3 linked regions of the Elephas maximus indicus genome follow. The protein of the gene in region 2 purifies or fractionates together with the protein of the main gene of each other region. This does not show direct contact. Links are inferred from orthologs where the notes say so. Each region holds a gene or a part of one and is shown on either strand. Other genes may lie near its edges.

Evidence for each region. Proteins that work in one complex are often made in the same cells at the same time.
Region 1: the proteins of ARRDC1 (region 2) and ZMYM2 purify together in Homo sapiens (affinity purification with mass spectrometry; 3 studies listed by BioGRID and IntAct, counting the BioPlex papers as one, with this or other methods). This does not show direct contact. The link is inferred for Elephas maximus indicus from reciprocal best matches to the Homo sapiens genes ARRDC1 and ZMYM2.
Region 3: the proteins of ARRDC1 (region 2) and NEDD4 purify together in Homo sapiens (affinity purification with mass spectrometry; 3 studies listed by BioGRID and IntAct, counting the BioPlex papers as one, with this or other methods). This does not show direct contact. The link is inferred for Elephas maximus indicus from reciprocal best matches to the Homo sapiens genes ARRDC1 and NEDD4.

What each region holds. Positions count from the first base shown.
Region 1 is NC_064841.1:49,337,164-49,344,945, forward strand, and holds the start of ZMYM2 (zinc finger MYM-type protein 2), read left to right. Parts: upstream 1-5,428; intron 5,429-5,967; 5' UTR 5,968-6,035; intron 6,036-6,122; coding exon of another isoform or gene 6,123-6,222; intron 6,223-7,782. Other genes in the region: uncharacterized protein LOC126066247, read right to left, coding at 4,014-4,446, 4,693-5,428, 6,123-6,222. UniProt on the Homo sapiens protein: Involved in the negative regulation of transcription.
Region 2 is NC_064827.1:661,452-669,289, forward strand, and holds the start of ARRDC1 (arrestin domain-containing protein 1), read right to left. Parts: upstream 3,001-7,838; intron 2,993-3,000; exon of another isoform or gene 2,471-2,992; 5' UTR 1,067-2,470; coding exon 1,013-1,066; intron 452-1,012; coding exon 330-451; intron 1-329. Other genes in the region: basic proline-rich protein-like, read left to right, coding at 3,117-4,532. UniProt on the Homo sapiens protein: Functions as an adapter recruiting ubiquitin-protein ligases to their specific substrates. Through an ubiquitination-dependent mechanism plays for instance a role in the incorporation of SLC11A2 into extracellular vesicles.
Region 3 is NC_064831.1:46,258,085-46,265,878, forward strand, and holds the start of NEDD4 (E3 ubiquitin-protein ligase NEDD4), read right to left. Parts: upstream 3,046-7,794; 5' UTR 2,968-3,045; coding exon 1,465-2,967; intron 1-1,464. UniProt on the Homo sapiens protein: E3 ubiquitin-protein ligase which accepts ubiquitin from an E2 ubiquitin-conjugating enzyme in the form of a thioester and then directly transfers the ubiquitin to targeted substrates. Specifically ubiquitinates 'Lys-63' in target proteins.

The DNA.
Region 1 (7,782 bases), on a different chromosome or scaffold from region 2:
TTCTCTTTTAAAATTTGCTTCTTTTCTCCAGGGATTATCTCTGAAACTTAGATGGCACTTGGGTATGCTATGCCACAAGGAGATAAAATGCGGGACATGATGGACCCCATATTCCAGCTTGAGCCAGGCAAGGAAGAGTGAATATCAATCTTTATTAAGAATACAGCAGCAAGAATTTTTAAAGCCACAGGAATTTGGAAGAAGGGAAAGTTCATAATAAGACACAAAAGTGAAAAGTGGTTTGCTGGAATCACTGGGACCTCAAGGGATGAGAAGACTATATATATATATATATATACACACACACACACACATGCACACACATACACACACATACATGTACATATATATACACATACCTACATATACATATGTAATAGATATGTATATATATACATATTTATTTAGCAAGCTTTGAGATGTAATTCACATACCATATAATTCACCCATTCATAGTGTACAATTCAATGCTTTTTTTGAATATTCAGTGTTATGCAATTATAACTATAATCAATTTTAAAACATTTTTATCACTCTAAAAAGAAACCACTTATCCTTTAGCTATCTTGCCCCAATCCCCACTTCCCAAGTCCTAGGCAACAACTAATCTATTTTCTGTCTCTATAGATTTGCCTGTTCAGGACATTTCATATAAATGGTATCATGTGTGATCTTTTGTGACTAGCGTCTTTTACTTAGTATAATGGTTTCAAGGTTCATCCATGTCTAGCATGTATCAGAACTTCATTCCTTTTTATGGCTAAATAATATTTAATTATATAGCTATTCTACAGTTTATCCATTTATCAGTTTATGGACATGTGGGTTGTTTTCAATTATGAATAATGCTTTTTGCAATTATGAATAATGCTATGAACATTCTAATATTTAAAGGTACTTTACGTAAAATTAAGCAACATTTTTATTTAAATTTTGAGCATGCATTGAGTATACTGTACCAGTGGTGGCAACAAATTAAATTATGACATAAACACATTTTTTTTTTTTTTGTAGTTCTAAACTCTCAACTAAAACTTATCCTTAATATCATTGCAGCAAATCTGTGAATGTTTTCATGGACATATGGACCTGAACGAAGAAATTAAAAAAAAAAAAAACTACTGTGATTGCTATCGCTGTTGCTAATCAATTATAAAAACAGCAAAAATGCCAGGGTATTGGTAGCAGTATAACCAACCTACCAGTTACTGATGAGTCTATTTCTACTCATGGTGATCCCATCTGTATCAGAGTGGAATTGTGCTCCATGGGATTTTTTATGTCTGATTTTTGAGAGGAGTCCCTAGGTGGCGCAAATGGTTAAACACTTGACTAGTAGTTGAAAAGCTGGTGGTTCTAATCTCCTAAGAGGCACCTCAGAAGAAAGGCCTGGTGATCTGCTTCCAAAAGTTCACAGCCTTGAAAACACTATGGAGCAGTTCTACTCCACACACAGGGTTGTCATGAGCGGTAATCGACTCCAGCAACCAACAACAGAGAACCAGATGCCTTGGTAACATTAACCATTTTCACCAGCAGTATAAAGTTTTCTCAAATTGAACAGCATGTGGCCACTCAATCTATCATTTAAGTCTATGACAGAGTTTATTTTATAGAATCTTGTGCCAGTTATCTAGTGCTACTGTAACAGAAATACCACACACGGATGGTTTTAACAAACAGAAATTTATTTTATCACAGCTTTTTATGAGGCTAGAAGTCCGAATTCAGAGCGCCAGCTCTCAGGGAAGGCTTTCTCTCTGTCGGCTCTGGAGGAAGGCCTTTGTCTCTTTTGAACTTTGTTCCAGGGTAGTCAAGCTGGCTTGACATCTGTTCCTGGATGATGAAGGTGGCTTGGCATCTGTTTCCCCATCTCTGCATCTTTTGATTGCTTGTTTAATCTCTTTTATATCTCAAAAGAGATTGGCTCTTAAAAGCTAGCAAGCGGCCATCTAAGATGCATCAATTGGTCCCAAAGCACCTGGAGCAAACAACAGTGAAGAACACCAAAGACATCAAGAAAATATTAGCCCAAAAGACAGAAAGGGCCACACAAACCAGAACCTCCATCAGCCTGAGACCAGAAGAACTAGATGATGCCCAGCTACCACCAATGACTGCCCTGACAGGGAACACAACAGAGAGTCCCTGACAGTGCAGGAGAAAAGTGTGGGGCAGAATTCAGATTCACGTAAAATGACCAGACTTAACGGTCTGACTGAGACTGAAAGGACTCCGGAAGACATGGCCCTTGGGCTCTTTGTTAGCTGAAAACTAAAGTCATTCCCGAAGTCAACTCTTCAGACCAAGATTAGACCGGACTATAAGACATAAAATGATACTCGTGAAGAGTGTGCTTCTTAAAATGATACTCGTGAAGAGTGTGCTTCTTAGTTCAAGTAGATAAAGGAGACTAAACGGGCAGCTCCTGTCCAGAGGCAAGGTGAGAAGGCAGAAAGGGACAAGAGCCTGTTGAATGGACACAGGAAATCCAGGGTGGAAAGGAGGAGTGTGCTGTCACATTATAGGGAAAACAACTAGGGTCACGTAACAATGTGTATAAACTTTTGTATGAGACACTAACTTGAACTGTAAACTTTCACTTAAAGCACAATTAAAAAAAAAAAAAAGAGAGAGATTGGCTCAAGACACACCCTACACTAATCCTGTCTCATTAACAAAGACAACCCATTCCCAAATGGGATTATAAACACCGGCACAGAGGTGAGATTTACAACACATATTTTTTGCGGGACACAGTTCAATCCATAACAAATTCTTCCTACTACAAACTCAGTGAGCTGAAGCTATGCAATAGTACATGGTAACGGAAAAGGGATGGTGTTAAGTTTTTTTTCACTGAATTATTACAGTATTGCCTTGAACTTATTTAAATAGTGAGAGGATGTTTCTGTTGTGAAGTTGATGTAAATTATGTCAAGGTAAAACAGTATTGTGTAATATAAGATTTACAACGATATTTTATTTTATTGAAAAACGAAAATTTTACAATTGCAAGAAATTTATCTGCAGAAAAAAGATACTATTGTATAAAAGCTGTGCGCAAATATGAGTTGTGGATTTTGGCAATTAAAAAAAAAGAGCAGTATACTTACGGTATTTTGTCCCGGGTGTAAGGACTACTTAATAGTCTATAGTCTCACATTAATTTGTATTCATAATGAGCTAACGAATGTGAATTTCTAGATTATGCTCTGTAAATGGCACTTATTATTAGACTTTACACATCAGTCTTTATAGAGTCCTTCATGGATGATTAACTTCATTAAAAACTCCATGTTATCACAAATGCACTTTAAATTGTAACATCACATCTCCATTTATTAACAGGCGGCGGCGTCAGGCAGTCCTACAATTGGGAAGCCTTACCATCTATCCATTTATTTCCCCAACACCATCAGTTGCAATCCCACTAACAACCGCTAGGGTGAGACGACAGAGGCATGTTTTTAATCGCTACGTGGAATCTTGCCCAACGTACAGCACCATTATGTCCGCCCAAGATGCAGGTGTAGACGATGAACAAAAAAGAGAGCCCATCGTCGACGGGATCTGCGCTCAATCTACGCAGGGTGAACGGCGGCCTGCGTCTTGCCTCCGGCTGCTGGGCGAGGGGCGCCTCCCGCAGGGCTGATGGCCCAGGTGTGGCGAAGCGATGGCGCTTCCACCAACCTTGAGGACCAGGAGACCGTGGAAGGCTGTTGGGAGGATGGGTGGAGGCTGGGGGAGGCCACTTGACAGAGGCTGCGAGGGAGGAAGTCGGCAGCGCAAAAGGACACGCAGGGTTAAGTGGAGCCCCTCCAACAAGGGAGCCTAGCTCCAGGGGAGCCCGCAGTTTCCTCCATCTTGGTTGATGGAGGCGGGAGCGGCGTCTGGGTCCTTCCACCAGCGCGCCTGCCCTCCTCGGCCCCTCAGGGGCCGACCCTCGAGGCAGGGGCGGCTACCCCGGCCGAAAGGTGGAGCCCAGGTGGGAGTTCTCGGGAACGAGCTCCCTAGCCCCACGGGGCTTGGCGTTGAACTAGTCCCAAGTTCCCACAGCGTCCCGACAAAATGGAGGACGTCGTCTCCTCCTGCTGCAGCCATGACGAGAGTGGAGGACTCTGCCCCACGGGGCGAGGCGAGGGTGGAAGGGTTCCCACTCTTCTCGGAGTACCCAGGACCCCACCACGCCCTCGGCCTGTGTTCCTCATTCGGCCTGGCGCCAGGTTTTCCCCACCGTGCCCCTCGCCTGCAGGGGCTCCAAGGAAAGGACTGGTAGGGCGTTCGGGGCATCGAGGCTGGGTCTCTCCTCGGGCAGAGTCGTTCTGGGCCGCTATAGCGGCCTGCGTGCCCAGGCCCGAGCGACGGAGGACAGCTCCAGCCTCGGTCTCTCGGGCTGTCCTTGGCTTTGGGAGCCCGTTAGTGCCCCCGAGAGCCAGCCCGCAGCTGGTGCAGAGGGGGCATCGAGGCTTGGGACCGCCTGACCCAGACGGCCCCAGTGGAATGGGGGCGGGATACAGAGGGGAGGGGACAGCCCGGGAAGGGACGGGGCGGTGGGGAGTGGAATGGAAAGGCTGAGGGGTGTGGCCTGTGTCTGATGGACAGCCCTTTGGACCACCTCATCGAGGGGGGTCCTGAAGGAAGGCAGATCGAGCCAATTGACGTGCCGGGAGTGCCGCGGCCCGTCTTCACCGCCAGCCAATGAGGGTGCGGAGGCGGGGCCTCCACGGGCTCGGCAGTGCCGCCACCGCCTCCTCCTCCTCCTCCTCACCAGCGCTAAACCCGGGACTGGACCGAGCGGAGTTGTGCTTGTTATCGAAGGGGGGTGGGCCGGGGGAGGGGAGGTTCGCTCCGCGGAGCCGCAGCCAGAACCGGGTGAGGCTTGCCCCACTGTCTTCCAGTCCAGGTCCGCTGATAATGGGGGTGGCTGGGAGCAGCGCAGCCTCCGAAGGAGGAGGCGGAGGCGGAGGCGGCTGGGGAGGCGGAGATGGGTGAGGGCAGTCTCCGGAGCCTCCCACCCACCCGGGATTAATGCCCAGCGGCGCGGTCACCGTCGCCGCTGCCGCGCAGGGGCCTCGGGGGCTCCTCCGGGAGCCGCTCATGTCACCGGCGCCTCTCCGGGCGGCCCGAAGGGCGGCAAGGGCGAGGCCGAGGCCGGGAGGGCTGGGTGAGGCGGGGGTCGCTCGGGGCGGGGGTGGCCCGGGGCTGCGGCCGTGGGGAGGTCGCTGAGGTATTTTTCCTTTCTTTCCTGCGGGGGTAGGCGGGGGAGGGGCGCCTCTGTTCGCGCTCCCGCTCTCCGGGCTGCGCTCCCAGCCTCTTCCGTAGCCAGCGGTCCCCAAGTTTTCGGGGCGAAGGCTGCCGCCTCCTCCCTGCCGGGTCCCCGCTTTGCTCAGCTCCTCACTGGCGCTGTGCTGCGCCGCTCTCGGTCCTCACGTATTGTTTGGCTGGGTCTCTAATGGCGGACGAGGAGGCAGCGCTGCCGGTCGCCGACTGCAGGGGGGGCAAACCTTAGGCCCAGGGCAACTGCTTGGGGCAGATATGGGGATTATCGGCCCCGTGGAGACGTGAATTCCTCCCCCCGCCCCTTACCTCGGAATTGGTTCCTAGAGTGTCGTGGAAGATGCTGGGTGGGCAAATTTAGGGGGGGGGAATACACAATCCCCTCCTGGCGTCGGGGCTACGTCGTGCCCTTCCCCCCTTCTTTCCCCAGGAGCAAGCTTGGTGCCCTCCAGCACCCCCTTCTAGATTTTGCCTTCAACGTGGTTTTTAACCCCAATATGTATTTTACGTCGTGTGCTGCACTTTACATAGGAGGGTACCGTGGGGTGTGGGGTGGAGGGTAATAATAAAAGGGCCGAACATCCTTGACCTCTTATTCCCTTCTCTGCCTCCTCCTGGTGAAAAGGGTTTGGTGCTACCACCTGGTTGGCTGTTCTTGATCTATATTTCATCTTTCCTCTTACCCAGGACCAGAAATCGCCTCAACCCTGTTTGGTGCATCTTTGGTGGAAAGTAAGGAGGAGAACATTCCCATTGTGAGTCCTTTACCCCGAATTTGTTGATTTTTAGTGGACGTCGTCACGTTGTAGAGTTCAGTAGTGGGGTTTGCCCCTCCCCGTTGCTTTGAGGGGGAGGGGCTTTCCCTTGGATGGCAGCTGCCCCCGGGGCAAAGCCCGGGTGATGGCTGGTAGGGCAGCTTGCAGTGGGCGCTGCTGTTTGCATCGCTGCAGACATTGCTCCTGCTGCAATACCAACCTCAGCAACCAGACGATGGGTTCCTGCAGCTGCTCTCCTTACCCAGGAGGAGGGGTGCTGGGAAGGAGGGCATATTTCTGGTGCCCTCTAGAGTTCCAGAGTGGGAGTTGAAGTTATTTCTTTTTAACATTTTTTCTCCCTTTGCGATGGATAATTGATTTAAGGGATTAGAAAAATTAAACGACTTAATTTTTTGTTTGTGTCTGATTCTCCTTTTACAATCAGTGATGGAAAGGATTAGAAAAATAGAAACATTAATTTTTGTTTCTGATTTGAGAAACAAATTTTGAGTCTTTGGGTTCATGAGTTGTTAGATCTCATTCATGTCTTAGGTTTATGGAAAAGGGCACGAAGCCTACTTCTTATACTCTCAGTTGTCTATCTAATATGTGGATTTGTCTTCACTTAAGAGTCGTTCTTAAATGTGTTAACTGAGAATTACCATCTAATGCTTGTAATTTATTAAGGCAGTACTGTAATCAGCTAGACAGTAAGATAAAAACCTGTCAAATTTTCTTTCATTCAGCTGAAACTAGTAACAAGCTATCAGTGAAGTCAGCACTCTGGACATATTGTATTTTGTGAGCCCATTGAGAGTTGATACCATTATAACTTGCAGATCTCTGTCTTCTTGGTCATAAGTGTGGTAACTTATGCTTAAGTATTAAGTCCAAAATGATCAGAAGATAGCTAATCCAATGACAAATACATGCTGAATACCGATTATGAAGGATGATGTCAAATGACAACTTACGTTAAATTCTTACTATTCTAGGCACAGTGCAGGACACTGTCATGTATTATCTCCTTTAATCTTTGCAAGTAACCAGCAGAGTAATGAAAATATCATTTATTGAGTGTTATTGTATGCCAGTGCAATTTCAAACTTTTTAAAAAGTTTATTATGGAATCTTAATTTTCTGAGTGAGAGTAGTATACTGAACCTCCATGTGCCCATCACTTTACCTGCATTGTAAAATGATCAACACATGCCTACATTCATTTTTTAACATGTATTAAGTAATTTATCCTCATGAAAACTGGTGAGGTATATACTGTTTTCTCTTCCTGAACTGCAGAGGAGGGAATATACTCAGCTCTTTGGAGCTTGGCTGTTAACCAAAAAGTTGGCAGTTTGAATCCACCAGCCGCTCCTTGGAAACTCCATGGGACAGTTCTGCTCTGTCCTGTAGGGTCACTATGGGTCGGAATTGACATGGTGGCAATGGGTTTTCTGGTTAATAGTGTTTGGTAGAGCAAGGATTTGTACTTAAACAATTTGATTACAGAACTGAGGCTAAGTAGCCATGGTAGACTACTTTAAAGAACTTAATATACTTTTTTTTTTTACACATATAGTGAAAAAAACCAGGATTAGAATCTTTTCAGCTTATGTAATTTTACTACTTAGAGAACAATGTGTAAACAAAAATGAAATGCTTGAAGCTTATCGAGTACTCTTTTCTAAAAATAAGAGAACCACAGTTCAATTAGATTTTTTGCTGCCGTGTTTTAAGACTTAACAGG
Region 2 (7,838 bases):
AAGGAGACACGCCCTTACGCTGCCGGTCAAAGTGTAGGTGGTTGGGGCTCTGGGGAAGATCCGCGCACACACTTCCCCCAGGAGATCATACCCATTCACCCACAGAGCCACACACACCACCACTGTGACACCAACAAGCTAGGTATACCCGGGTGTCCACCAATAGCAGAGGACCCAGCTCCCAGCATCAGGTAAATGAGTTATGCGCACCTGACCCCAGAAAAGCCAACCAGATAAAAACACCAACATGCCAAACCCCCATGCCAAGAGCCCCGTTTTACACACACACCAAGGTCCTACGGGACACCCTGCTGAACAAGCAGCCCTACCTGTTGTCCTGTGGTGGAACCTGCCCTGCTGTCCTCTCTCCCCTGCTAGGGGAAAAATGGGGGGGTGTAGGGCAAAGGCAAAGGTCTTTCCCACAGAAGGCCTGCTGCTTCCTCAGGTCAGCCTGGGAGAATCCCCAGGGAGTCAGTTTTCACTGCTCTGGGTCCATTGCAGTGGCCACAGTTTTCCCTGCCCAAACCGCTGGATTAATCGGGTTCCTGCAACATGGTCCTGCTCAAGAAATGAGGGGGACCTATCGGAGGTTTTAGGAGGGGTCTTTGCTCTTAGGGGGAACACAGATTTTGGAGACTAGATGCCAGGGACTACTGCAGCCTCTTCAGGATGACACAGCTGGCCTAAGAAAACCAGCCACTCTGCTGAGGGTGGTGGCAAAGGGGGCAGGAAACCAGGCCTGAGACCCCAGTAAACTGTCCTTCAGGGGTGGTGGCAGGACTGGGCGATTCAGTGGCAGTTACTGCATCGAAGAGCCAGACTTCCTCTGCCTTTTTGATGATAACGGTTAAGTCACTCTTCACTAGTGACCCTGCAGCCCTGTTGCCCCTACCCAGCAAAGGGAGTTAAGCATCTGCTCCAGGAGGCACGCGGCGTCCTCGCACCGAGCCACGCCATCTAGCCTTTAAGTGTTCCCTGACAGTATAGGGTTATCACGAGAGATTGCACCAACCCGGCAGGTGTCTGTTGGTGGAGAGCGCTGCAGCCTTTCTGAAAGGTTTGCCATCACTCTGACTCTTTTGATCTCGATGTTGCTTGTGTCACAAGAGTTGCTCCTGGAACACCTGCTTTCCTCTTGACCCAGTCCTCCCACCTCCCAGGTAGCGATGAGGATTAATTACCCAAACATGGAGAGTGGGTAGAATAGCAAGTGTCCCACGAAGGGAGCTCGGGGAAGACTGGCGGTGCTGGGGGCATCCTCCCTTGCCCACCCCGAGAGCCAGAATTTGGGCAGCCCCCACCTGACCAACTACCAACCTTGGGTAGGGTCTGGCCTGGGCTCCAAGAGCAACTCCTTCTGCAGCACCATCAGGGCCATTCATTCAACAAGCATTTAGTGAGCAACTCGGAGCCCCCACCCTGCAGGCATCCGGCTCTCCCTTCCTTGATGTTTCTCCTGGGACAGAGGGCCTCACCACGACCTCACTGGCACTGAGCAGGCGCTCAAGAGGCATCAAGCGAATGAGGGAAAAACAGGTGGCCCTCCCCTTTGCATACCAGGAAGTATCAGAGGAAGTCCGAAGTGGCCTCAGCACCTGGTGCTCCACCGGGTCTTCTGTAGCCGAAATAATCAGGTTTCTGGCCCGATTGGGAGTCCTCCTCCTCCTCCCCCACTCAGAGAGCACCGGCTGCCACTTTTGCAGCTTTCTGTGGCCCCAAGTAATTCACCTTCACCCTACCCCAGGACCCCACACAGGGCCCAGATGGCCCCTTGACTGTGGTCAGCCAAGAGCCTTCCACTCCCATCCCCCAGATCTCACCTGGCATGGCTCTGTGCATGTGCCCTTGTGCGTGCGCCCCAGCGGGTAGCCCCACTGCCTCTGGCCCTGTGGTAACTGCCACCCCAAACTCCCAACTCCTGCCAGGGAAGTAGTTAGGGAGACATCAGATCATAACGACGAGACCCAACAGGGCTGGGAGCCTCACACCACATGGTGGCAAGGGCCACACGGAGGTCCAGATGGGCCAACTGCCCCAGGAGGCTCTGAGAGTAAGTGAAGGTGGAGAGAGCCATGCAGGGATGCCCAAGCTACCCTCGGCTCAGGCCAGAATCAGGCAGCCAGGGCCACAGGTGCACCCTCTTGGCGGCAGCTCTGCCCACCCTGCCCTCAGGGCCTGGTACAGGGCCGCAGTTTGGATGGGCAAACAAGGCCAGCACCTCCAAGAGCCCTAGCAAGGGCTGCCGCGGCAACCCAATCCCTAGTCCCAAAGTCCCAGATGTCTGTGAAAGAGGAGACAGCACCGCCACAGGGACTGGCCTGGAGGGCTCAGGTTCAGCTCCCTGGTGCCAGGCTGCGCCAGAGGCCAGGGGGAGGTGGGCATGGGCGAGGTCCTCCCAGTTGGCAGGGGAAGCCAGGGCAGGAGTCAAGGAGGGCCCTGCGGGAGGCCGCACATTCGGGGCAGGACTGTCCTGGAAAAGAGGGGCCTGAGCAAGATCCTGGGCGGGCAGGCTAGGGAGCCGGAGAGTGAGCCAGGTTACAGGTGAGGAGGCCCAAAAGATGCGGGTGGCAGCAGACCTTAAGTGCCCCGACAGGGAAACCCCAAGCGGAAATGAATCAGAGTGACCTTAGGCCAGATGGGGAGCCTCCACACCCCAGCCCGCGGCTCTGGCCGCCCCCGGGCAGCAAGGAGAGGAAGAGGCAGATGCGGCGGGCTGGGCCACCGGGGTCTCCCCGCCCCGCCCCGCCTGGCGGCAGCCCCCGGCCAAACACCCGGCGGTCTGCGCGGGGCGGCCGGCCACACCCGAGCCGTCCCCCCGGCTGGCGCTCAGGCCGGGGCAGGGCGGCGCATCCGCAACGCGCGTCCCCGGCCGGCAGGCACCGCCGCCGCTTCCGGGGTCCCGGGCGCCCCGCCCAGCCGCCCCAGGTGCGGACGCGACCACCTGAGGCCGCCCGGCCCACCCGCGAGGGGACCCCCGCAGCCCCGCCGGCCGGTGCCCACCTCGGAAGGGCAGAGGCGCGCCCAGGCGCACGCACACGGCCCCGACCAGCGGCTCCCCCGGGCTGTAGACGACGCGGCCATGGCTCAGGCGGATCTCGAAGAGCTGCAGGCGCCCCATGCTGCGAGCCCGCGCCGGGCCGGCAGCGCACTACAGCCCGCCGCCCGGCAGCGCTCCGAGGCCGCCGCCCCGCCGCCCGCCCGCCCGCCCGCCGACCCGCCCCCGGCCCGGGCCGAGCTCAGCAGCTTTGCGTCCGGCGCGGCTGGCGGGGTTGGGCGCACGGGCGCCCCCTGCTGCCCCGGGAGGCGCGGCCGGCTCACCTGTCGGGGGCGGGGCCGCTGGGGGCGGGGTCGCTGGGCGGGACCCGGGGCGGGGCCGCGGGGCGGGGCGTACGCTCGGCTCTCGGCCCCAGACGCGCCCCGAGCTGCGCAACTGGAGCCTCCCCGCGGCCGCAGCCGGCGTGCGCCGCCCGCCCCTCCCCAGCTGCCGCTCGGGACCCTCGCGCCCCGCCCCGGGCCCCGCGAGAATAGACGGAAGCGCGTCACGGAAGGCCGGGGGTGTCCAGAGGACGCCGCGCGCGGGGGAGGACGGGCCGCCGGGATCCGCGATCGCCGCCCCGGCCCTGACGCCCGCGGACCTCTCCCTCGGGCGACCCCGTAACCGCGCCCCCGGGCACCTCGCCGACCCTTACCCCGCTCCCTGGCGACCCCACCCCGGGCACCTCGCCGACCCTTACCCCGCTCCCCGGCGACCCCACTCCGGGCACCTCGCCGACCCTTACCCCGCTCCCCGGCGACCCCACCGCGGGAGGCCCTGCGACCCCACCCCGGACACCTCGCCGACCCTTACCCCGCTCCCCGGCGACCCCACCGCGGGAGGCCCTGCGACCCCACTCCGGGCACCTCGCCGACCCTTACCCCGCTCCCCGGCGACCCCACCCCGGGCACCTCGCCGACCCTTACCCCGCTCCCTGGCGACCCCACCCCGGGCACCTCGCCGACCCTTACCCCGCTCCCCGGCGACCCCACCGCGGGAGGCCCTGCGACCCCACCCCCGGCACCTCGCCGACCCTTACCCCGCTCCCCGGCGACCCCACCCCAGGAGGCCCTGCGACCCCACCCCCGGCACCTCGCCGACCCTTACCCCGCTCCCCGGCGACCCCACTCCGGGCACCTCGCCGACCCTTACCCCGCTCCCTGGCGACCCCACCCCGGGCACCTCGCCGACCCTTACCCCGCTCCCCGGCGACCCCACCGCGGGAGGCCCTGCGACCCCACCCCGGACACCTCGCCGACCCTTACCCCGCTCCCCGGCGACCCCACTCCGGGCACCTCGCCGACCCTTACCCCGCTCCCCGGCGACCCCACCCCGCTCCCCGGCAGACCCCTCCCCGGGCACCTCGCCGACCCTTACCCCGCTCCCCGGCGACCCCAGCCCCGGCACCTCGCTGACCCTTCCTCCGCTCCCCGGCGGACCCCTGTCCGGGCGCCCTACTGACTCTTGGCCAGCGTCCCCCTCTTGCCAGAGGCTTTGAGGTCGCTTGTCCCGCAGGTGTGCCAGCCGAGCCTGCTGTGTGCACCGCGCTGCCTAGCCTTGGAGGATCCAGCCCTGAAGCTATGGGCGCACCTGAGCAGCAAGTGCCAAGCCCGGGGGCAGGGAGGGCGCCGGGGTCCGAAGCTGTAGGGACAGATGACCTCGCTGCCACATGGGGGGATGGTGCGGATGGCTTTGAGACAAGGAGGACCAGAATCTGGTTTGTTTTTGTTTGTGTTTTAAATGCAACTGCACATTTATTCATATGTGCAAAACATGTTTCTGCAGAATATATTGGGCGCCCTGTCCCTCCGGCTCCTGGCCCTAGTTAAGGCCTTCCCTCATCAGTTACTACTCTAGGCTACATGATTAATCCTTACTTTGTTTTCCTTCAGAACACATAAAGGCTCTCCAAAATTTGAGTCTGATAGGGTACTAAGTGAATTGCTTAAGCAAAACAGTTGTTTAAGTTTTACATATATTTTGTCATTCTGTTTTTTTGTAGTTTTGTTTTTTCGTCAGAGCTGAATAATATTGGTCATTATGAAGATTATACATAATGAAACTCATCTTGGTTTGGAAAAATAGAACCATGCAAATCAAAGAGAATCTAAAACAAACACCCCTGCTGATAGAGGTCTACTGACTCCAAAAGTTGGGCTGGAATACTCTTTGTTTACTAACAACCCAAGTCTTTTAAACTACTTCTGTAGAATTTTTTCTCAGCTTGCTTTGCGCAGGAAGCTTATCAGTAGAGAAGGACACTCAGCCGGGGGAATTCACTTCCACTCTTCCAAAGTGGAAACCCTGGTGGCTTAGCGATTAGTAGCTCGGCTAGATCATGATTTCCAGTATTGTGTGATTGTCCACCGTTTTCTCATCTGGTGTGATTTTCCTCTGTGTTGTAAATCCTACTTCTTTGATGTTAATGAGGCAAGACGCAATCTACAAGATTAGATCTTGTCTTAAGCCAATCTCTTTTGATATATAAAACAGAGAATCAAGCAGAGACATCGGCACCTCATACCACCAAGAAAGCACAGCCAGGAGTACTGCACATTCTTTGGACCTGGAGTACCTGTGATGAGAAGCTCCTAGTCCAGGGGAAGACTGATGAGAAGGACCTTCCCCCAGAGCCAATAAGAAACAGAAAGACTTCCCCTGGAGCTGTTGTTGTTAGGTGCCCTCAAGTTGGTTCCAACTCATAGCGACCCTAGGCAACAGAACGGAACACCGCCCAGTCCTGCACCATCCTTACAATCGTTGTTATGTTTGAGCTCATTGTTGCAGCCACTGTGTCAATCCACCTCATTGAGGGTCTTCCTCTTTTCTGCTGACCCTGTACTCTGCCAAGCATGATGTTCTTCTCCAGGGACTCATGCCTCCTGACAACATGTCCAAAGTATATAAGATGCAGTCTCGCCATCCTTGCCTCTAAGGAGCACTCTGGCTGTACTTCTTCTAAGACAGATTTGTTCGTTCTTTCTGCAGCCCGTGGTATATTCAATATTCTTCGCCAACACCACAATTCAAAGGCATCAATTCTTCTTCAGTCTTCCTTATTCATTGTCCAGCTTTCACACGCACATGAAGCGATTGAAACTGCCATGGCTTGGGTCAGGCGCACCTTAGTCTTCAAGGTGACATCTTTGTTCTTCAGCACTTTGAAGAGGTCTCTTGCAGCAGATTTACCCAATGCAATGTGTCTTTTTTTTTCTTGACTGCTGCTTCCATGGCTGTTGATTGTGGATCCAAGTAATATGAAATCCTTGACAACTTCAGTCTTTTCTCCATTTATCATGATGTTGCTCACTGGTCCAGTTGTGAGGATTTTTGTTTTCTTTATGTTGAGGTGTAATCCATACTGAAGGCTGTGGTCTTTGATCTTCATCAGTAAGTGCTTCAAGTCTTCTTCACTTTCAGCAAGGAAGGTTGTATCATCTGCATAACACAGGTTGTTAATGAGTCTTTCTCCAATCCCTATGCCCCTGAATTTGGATTTCTAGCCTCCTAGACTGTGAGAGGAAACCCTGGTGGCATAGTGGTTTAAGAGCTACAGCTGCTAACCAAAAGGTCAGCAGTTCAAATCCACCAGGAGCTCCTTGGAAACTCTATGGGGCTGTTCTTTGTTAAAGCCATCCACTTATGGTATTTCTGTTATAGCAGCACTAGATAACTAAGACAGCTACTAAATTTTAGAGTAGCTTGCTATGCAGTGATAAAAACTGAAATAGAAATTGGTACTTACAAGTGAGAAACTACCATAACAAAATATTAAATGTAGCATTGACTTTCGGGCCAGGCAGCAGGAGGGTGCTGGAAGGTCCATGAGCCTGCTACTGTAGGCTGGAGAAACAGTGAACCATGTTATCTCTTGGTGGAAAAATTGGTGAGACTGTGTCATGGATTGAATCGTGTCCCAGAAAAATATATGTCAACTTGGTTAGGCCATGATTCCCAGTATTGTTAAATCCTAAACCACTCTATGTTAATGAGGCAGGATTAGCGTGGGCTGTATCTTGAGTCACTTGCCTGTGCTAAAGTCACACCCTTGCTTGAGTCACATCTTTTATAAGATAAAAGGAGAGAGAAGGGAGTAGAGAAGAGAGGGACCTCACTACCAGCAAGAAAGAAGAGCCAGGAGTAGAGTGTGTCCTTTGGACCAGGGTACCTGTACCATGAACCTCCTAGACTCAGAAAGATTGATGCTAAGACACGTGGAGATCTCTAAGGAATGCTGGGCCCACAGATGTTGAAAGGAAACAAGGACCTTCCCCCAGAGCCGACAGAGAAAGCCTTCCCCTAAAGCTAGTGTCCTGAATTTAGATTTTTAGCCTCCTAACCTGTGAAAGAATAAACATCCACTTGCGGGTGTTTCTGTTATAGCAGCACTAAATAACTAATACAGACTGGTAACATGGAAGACAGAAAATGTACCTAATTAACTTGTGGGCTGATTAAGGAGATTCCCTAGCAGAAGTTTCAAAGGGCCAGTTGGCTTCTTTCAGCCGTTCATGATAAAGTGGGAGAAAGACAAGAGAGATGAATTAAAAAAGGAAAAGTTCAAGCAGAAGTTAAAGAGTTCCAACACAGGTCTTGTTGAGTTGGGGAGGGGAAAAAAAGCACCCTCACTCTCAGCCCCTCCAGGTAGCGAAAGGTTCTTAAGAAATGGCCTCAGAGTAAATATCAAATTCAGGGTACTGGCATTAAAATACAACCTCAGGGGTAAAAATCAAGCGTGTGGCTATAATATCCCTTGCTAAAACCTCTGAAATATTTCCGGGTCCCCCTAGGCCCTTGAAGACAT
Region 3 (7,794 bases), on a different chromosome or scaffold from region 2:
TAAGTTAACTTTTCCACTCAGATTAATTATTTCATTAAGTGTAAAATTAATTTATCAGCAGCATGTAATTCAATTAGAAAACTATTAATCTGTTTATCCATAATATCACTTCACTGCTTTCTTTTGGGGAGAAAACAGCTGAATGGCTTATAATCTCCTAAAAACTAGTTTTTAAAAAGTTTTCTAAATGGAATTAATAATTATAAAGCATAGATCAGAATTTGAAATCTCATCTTTTTATCCTCTGTAAAATAAGTTGCTTGTATTGGCATCTGGGCACTGGGCAACAACGACTATATTTACCAAATTTCAAAACAGAAAACTAACAATTACCTAGTATTTTATTTACCTAAAGCTATTTGACCAGTTGTTTTGTTTTTAAAACCCTTAATACATCGGACGTTATATAAACACAGTAATAAACAGATAAGCTTACTTTTTGCATACCGACATCCAGAACTGGTTTAGTCACATAATTTTTTAAATGTCCTAGAATCTGGCAAGACCTTCCAAATATAGAAATTCAAAAAATTTAAGTTTGAAACACTTCAGAAAGTCAAATTGTAGCAGGAAATGTTTGGGTTAAGATTCAATTGAGTTAAATTACTAATATAATAAAGCAAAAATATCAAAACAACAAAATTATTAATAAGGTAACTAGAAAATTCTGGGAAATGCCTAGCAATCAAAAAAATTTTTAAGTATAAAATTTAGAATTTAATTCTGTTGAAATATTGAGTTACATTTTAGAAAGCAGTCTAAACTGGTGGCTAAAGAAAAATAGGGTGGAAACAAAATTCCTGTGGTTAAGGGTATATACAAATGCAAACGCCACTTACTCTTCCTCTGTGCTAAGCATGCAACATCATAGTTTTTATCAATGATCTAATAAATACAAACATTTTAAAGAAACATTTCCTCTGTGTTCATTAATAACAAGATCTTCACATCTTTATGTGGGTTTTTATCATTTAGTATTTTAAATAAGCATTTTACATTCTACTTTATTTCATAATGACTAAGGAGGGGAGAAAATTAAATGATCCTTTTCTAAAGTAAGGATAGAATATGAAGTTAGATATGAAAATACCATGTCACTTGAAGGAAAACATATCAAGACAAAATGTTATGAAATAAATTATTGTTCAAAGCTTATTTTAATACTACAGAAATGTTTATGGCTTAAATCACTTAGGAAAGTTTTTTTTTTTCTAATGTATATAATTTTTACATTGGCAAAATAACAAATGGAGTGGAATACTATTAGGGAGTTCCTCAGATTTTCAAATACAAAGTTCATTACTACAAAATACTTGCTAGTTAAGAACCAAGGAATTACGTAAAACTGCTAAGTTATAACTCGACGGCACTGGGTTCTGGGTTAAGTTATAGCAAATTTTAGCCAAATATTTCTTTAAGTTATTCTAGTATAAATTAACATTTACTAAGACCAAGGAAACGTACCTTTCGAGAATGCTTCAAAGAATGAGATGGTTCATCTGTGACATCTCTGTTGCCGTCTCTGGATAAATCACTAACTTTACCTACATTTCCAGTGGCAAACTTTATGTGTAATTGAGATGGTCCCCCCTTGGAACAACTGTGCTTAAGGCTGGATAAACAGGAAACGTTTGGATAAGTTCCTCCCAGTGAAATGCTCCTCTGTAAAGTAGCATGGTTTTTGTTTGTCTGTGAATTTGGTCTTTCCAACTGTCCACTGATATTTATTTGATAATCGGTACTTTGGTTGGGTTGTAGACAAGCAGATGTCCTATGCGTGAGCTTAGTATACTCTGTATCGGAATTTCGGTTCATTTCTGACATCTCTGGTTGACAGTCACCGTTTGCTGCTTCACAATCAAACGTAGTTGCTTTCTGTTGGGTGAAATGCACTGAAACACAAGAATATCCATCGGGTGACTCTTCGCAGACAGTCTGCTTTGGACTATTACTTGAAATAACCATTTTCTTTTGTAACGAGCCCTTTTTGTGAAGTGGCCTTATGTCTCTCCCTTCTCCAGGAGCACAAGTTGTTTTCGATAACCGCAGTCCATTGACAGCCGTTGAAAGAAATCCCTTAGCAGCAGTACCATCTTCAGTGTGCGCAATTTCACTGGGAGAAATAATAAACTGGTGTGAAGTCTGATAGGATCCTTTGCTTGAAAGAGTGCCTGTACTTGTTGGAGAAGTTGGTGGGGTATTTGAAGGACTCCTAGGAAAAACAACTAAGGAGGAACAACGTTTCAGTGGAATTTTGGAGTTCCTGCTCACCGGCAACTTCATAATCTCTATCCCATGGTCCAGGTCATCCTGGACAAAGGGAACTGTGCTCATACTTCTTGAGAAAACGTCACATGGAGTAGGGTTCCTGTCTGGCACACTCCTACTGGACGTGGTCTCAGAAGATAAGTTTCCACCAAAAAAAGGATCATCGCTTGGTGGAAAAGTACAGCTACTGCTGTCACTGATGACACTGTTAGTGTATGAGCCTCCACTCGTGATGCTTGTACACGACCCATAATCACTACCATTGCTGCTGTAAGACCCGTTATCACTGGCTAAAAAGTTACTAAGGCTACCACTACAAACAGCACTCAGTTCATGATCAACCACAGTATTGCTGTCAATGCCTTCCTTCAAGACACAAGTAAGGGAGGCGTCATTACCATCGGTTAAGACATTGCTAGACTGAAGACATCCACTGTACCTTGCTGGCTGTAGTGAAATCTGTAGACAGCTGCTCTTTTTATTAACATTTTCAGACGATCTTTCCTGAGACTTTACTAAAGGAGCCAGTGCAGCCTGTCGGGGAGTCAGCTTCATCTGAACCACGTTAGACGCTGAAATCCGTGTAGGTCTCCTGAAGCACATGTGAACATTGCTCTCCAAATCATCTCCGGAGCTTTCTGACAAAGGGTAAGTATTGCTTCTTCTGGCTGCAAAGTGCAATCGTAAGCTTTGTGCCATTTGTTCTCATTTCCAAGCATGTTAAGGGCTGAAAGTCATAACAAAGATCTCTGGCCGTAGACAGGCTAGAAGCAGCTGCACTGCATCGAAAGAAAAAATCATTTGTGGTATCTGAAAGAGTCTTAAGCAGCAGCCTTCACCCTTAGTAAAACGCTAGATACCAGATATCACAGAAAGAAAAAGACGACCCAGTCCTGAGAATGACGTTTCCAAAATGTCTTGAATCGCTTGTAGTCAAAACGCCTTCACTCACAAAGCACTTGATTTCCAGCGACCTTTAAGCTCAGCTCAGCTCAGCAGCAGCACACTGACTCAAACACTGCCAACCTTGTTTCAATTATACCTTCTCCAATTTGCATGAGTGAGTAACACAGGAACAACAATCTCCTAGCATTTCAAGCTGAAACAGTATGTTTTCCCTCCAGCTCTACTAAATGCACATTTAACGATTGGAACCACTGTGCCTGTACTTTCTCCGGCCGACTTTGGCCACTAATATTTTTACCCGTAGGTATAGAATTACAGGAAGTTGGTAGGAATGAAACCTCATGTAATTGAGTATCAAATCAAGGATTGAATTTCCAAATAGTTGCCATACTAGGAATCCGATCAAGTTAATGTAGAAGGGAATATATACAGTTAATTTTTTTACATGGTAAGTTCAAACAGTTCAAAATTTGGAAATACGAAAACTTTGGGGTGAAATAAAACTTTACCATTAAATCAAATAGACAAACAGTTTAGCTTCCAATTGCTAGTTATAAAAGCTGAAACTGTAAGGAACAGAACTACAAAATTAGCATAGTAATACTACTACAAACATTGAGCATGGGACCGAGGGAAAAAAAGTTTAAGAGAAACTGTCACCAAGCATTTTCTCCTGTAATCTTAAGGCCTTTTCCAGCCAAGTAGCACAGTCTTTAAACGATGCCATTTATATTTTGACTATTAAAACTCTGCCAAGAAATAGGCTAAGCAAACATTCCATTAAAAATACATGCAGATTAGGCAGAAAAACTATACGCCCATATAGCTGGAGCACATAGAATATTTTATTCCACTGTCTCTGCAATTCATTCAGCTAAGAGAGGGCTGTGGTAAGAAAGAAGTCTAAAAAAGATTTAACACATCAAATAAACATATCTCAGCGCCAATTCTGTTCTGAAGAACTGGAAGAGCCCTTTGCTGGCCCCTGCTGGTGCTTTGAAACCATCCTTCTAGCTGTTAGATATCGCCGAAGAAATACAAGCCACGCTGCATATTTCTTTAGATAAACAAAGTGCATATTTGTTTACATTTTTGAGTACCAAGCACTGCCCTCGAGGTGGAATTACTTACTACTACCGATAAAGCTCCTACCACGGAAAACAGTAGACTGTTTGTCCTCTTAGATGTTGTGATTTTTGTACATATGCTTTTTTTTCTGTTTTGTATTTATTTAACCTTTCATTTATTTTCAGTTTACTAGGTAATAAAAGTTTAATATTTTAATTTTTCCCCCAAATGTCGTTGACCAAGGTTGGTATTCTACTTGAAAGAAACAAATTTATTTTTAAATAATACTCTAGGGTATATTTAAACCCCTTACCTGAATTTTATAGTTGGAACTCCAGTAATAAATATATACTGGCTCATTCATAGGAAAGTGAAAAGTAAAATAGTTCCGTTGTTTATACCACATGGTACTACACCCAAGCTGTATTTTTCTAAGTAAGTTTTTTTCCTAAGCAAAAGCAAACATATAAAACATATACTTGTACCTTGTTTTTTTTTTAAAAAACTGCTTACGATAAATCTGCTTTCAATCACAATTTTCTGAACAGTGTTTTTAATTAGTTAAGACTTGACAAACTAGAAATATGGGAATTTATTATAGTTCTGACAAGAATGAGATAGTACTATATTTTAGAAAGTGTACAGTAGTTACAAAGTTAGCGATAAAGTTCATGTTATTTTGGTTTCATATAGCCTCCCTTACGATTATACAGACTTCTGCAAATATTCTCCTATCATCCTTTTTCTTTATAGAAGAAACAGTCAATCTTTTTACTTTGCCTTCAAGTGACTTCAGCTTTCCTTTTTGGGTTAAGTTAGAGGTCTAACGACTCAAAGAACAGATTATTTTTAGACGACTAGTCAAAAGAGATCTAACCACTCGTGTCTCTGGCCTAAAGTGTCCAGTCAATAAGCAAAGCTCCCCTGACAGTTAATATAAAATTATGAACCCATGTATGTGACCAGATGAATGTCTTCTCATTGGTAAGCTTCGCTGTAAGCATTAGTTTCATGTCCCCTAACTAGATTTTAAAGCTTCCAGAATGTGAGGACCACAACTGTACATTTCTTCTGACCTCTTGGGCTCATGTCAGGCAGACTCAGCACTAAAGAACCAGAGAGAAGGCTGAGTGGATGGACGGTCATGCAGTCACTCTGACTGCCCAACACTGCCTTTCAGGTTTTGTGTTATTTTTTTAACTTAAGTTGATCCAGCTGCTACTTGTAAAGAAATATTAAAAAACACTGCAGCTGGATAAGAAGGAGTGATGCTTGAAAATTTTGGAGAAAGGAACCCAGCCAAGGAAAGGTAAGAGAAATACATGCATTTCCTAGAAACCCAGTCTGAGTTTAAATTCTAGAGAGGTTGAACAGCCTGCACTGTGGGCTGAGGTCTGGGATCGTACAGGATCTGTAGAACCATCACAGCAGCTGCCATGTGGAGCCTGGTGAACCTAGGGTAAAACGTAGGCCCTTAGCCCAGCAGCTGCCATGTGGAGCCTGAGGGACCTAGGATAAAATGTAGGCCCTTGCCCCAGCAGCTGCCATGTGGAGCCTGAGGAACCTGGGGTAAAATGTAGGCCCTTACCCCAGTAGCTGCCATGTGGAGCCTAGGGAGCCTGGGGTAAAATGTAGGCCCTTAGCCCAGGAGTTGCCATGTGGAGCCTGGGGAACCTGGGGTAAAATGTAGGCCTTTAGCCCAGCAGTTGCCAAAAGAAAAGCCTCAGCCCTCACTCAGGTGAGAAAGAGCTAGAGAGTAGAAGCTTAGAGGTAGCCCCTTATAGCAGGAACCTATGCAAGGCCTATAGAATTTCATATTCTGGAATTAAAAGGATAATGTCTCAGGATTAGATGGAAGCTTATGGCCCACATTCTGAGATATTTTGGTTATTATTATTTGCACACACAGAAAACAATGTGATTGCATACATGGTGTGGGTGGGCTCTGAGTAACCCTAACCACTGACTAGAGCTTTGAAGGCTAGAGACCATTAAACCTGAGAAGCACAGCATCTCCACTCAAGACAAAGCAGTCTGCTAAATCCTTGGTGGCTAGATGTGTGCATATAGAACTTTAGGTCGGTGAACAGAGGCACCAACTTTTGCACTGGTGGGTAAAATCTTCTTAAAGGCATACCACTCTGAAACATTCCAACACTGTCCACACCACCACCACGACCCACCAAGCCACTACTACAGCTTATAGTTCTCGGTATTAAACTGGCTGAAAAAGAGGGTCTATAAGCCACCTCTTTCTCAAAAGCAAATATCAGTTATATTGTAAAACTTTTCCAGATGACAAGAAATGGTTTCTGCTTAGATTTCTAACTGCGCCGTCTCCTTCCATTTCCCAGGAGAATTTGCTAAGAAAAGGATGTGTCCCTAATTTAGCTGTGAACGCTACAGGAGAATAAAGGTAGAATGACATCACAGTGCACAGGCCAGTCACTGCTGGAGAATCACGTCTCACTCCACCAACAGCTATAACCAAAAACCAAACCCGCTGCTGTCAAGTCGATTCCGATTCACAGTGACCCTACTGGACAGAAGAGAACTGCTCCACAGGATTTCCAAGGAGCAGCGGGTGGATTCGAACTGCCGACCTTTTGGTTAGCAGCCGAGTGCTTAACTATAGCCACAGTTTCTATGATATCTCAGTGACCTACACATTTCAATTACCTGCTAGAACTAGCAACAAATCAAAGGACCAGAACGACACACACCACTCTGTTCTAATTGTCTCTTGCTCCCTTTGGCTGGTAAAGTGAGCTTCTTGAGAAAAGTAGCTGTATTTCTAATGCATAGCAGTCATCTAACTCAGTAGGTACACTAAAAGGCAACCTCAGTTAATACAAAAATATGGCATCAGAGAGCCATAAACACATGTATCCACAAATGTTAAATAACACTTCATATTTGTATCATGAATAATTTTCTGAGCGCTTTCATAGCTGCTGTCTCATTTTAAACTTAACAATAAATTTATGATAAGCAGGGCAAATACTGTTATCCCTGATTTTTAAACACGAGAAACTATTTTCAGAGGGACTGAATGACTTGCCCAGGGTTACAAGCTAACATGCCAGAGCAGACGCAGGGTTACAACAGGGCTGCTGACTCCTTGGTGTGGAGATAGACAATATCATGATTAATGCATTTTTTTTTGTTTTTGCTTTTACTTAAAAGTTTTTTTTTTAATTTTTGTTATATTTACCAATCTGGAAACATCCAATCGTTAACATCAGAGTAACTTTTTTTTTTCTTCCAACTCATCAAAAACTAAAAAATCAAACCCTCTGCCATCGAGTCAATTCTGCCTGACTCACAGCAACCCTCTAGGACAGAGTAAAACTGCCTCATAGGGTCTCCAAGGCTGTAATCTTTACAGAAGCACAGTGCCACATCTTTCTCCCACAGAGCAGTTGGTAGGTTAGAACTGCAGACCTTTTGGTTAGCAGCTGAGCACTTAACCACTGTGCCACTAGGCTCCTTTCCAACTAAAGGACACTACTAAATTTATAACAAATGCTCAACAAATGTTAATGTACCAAT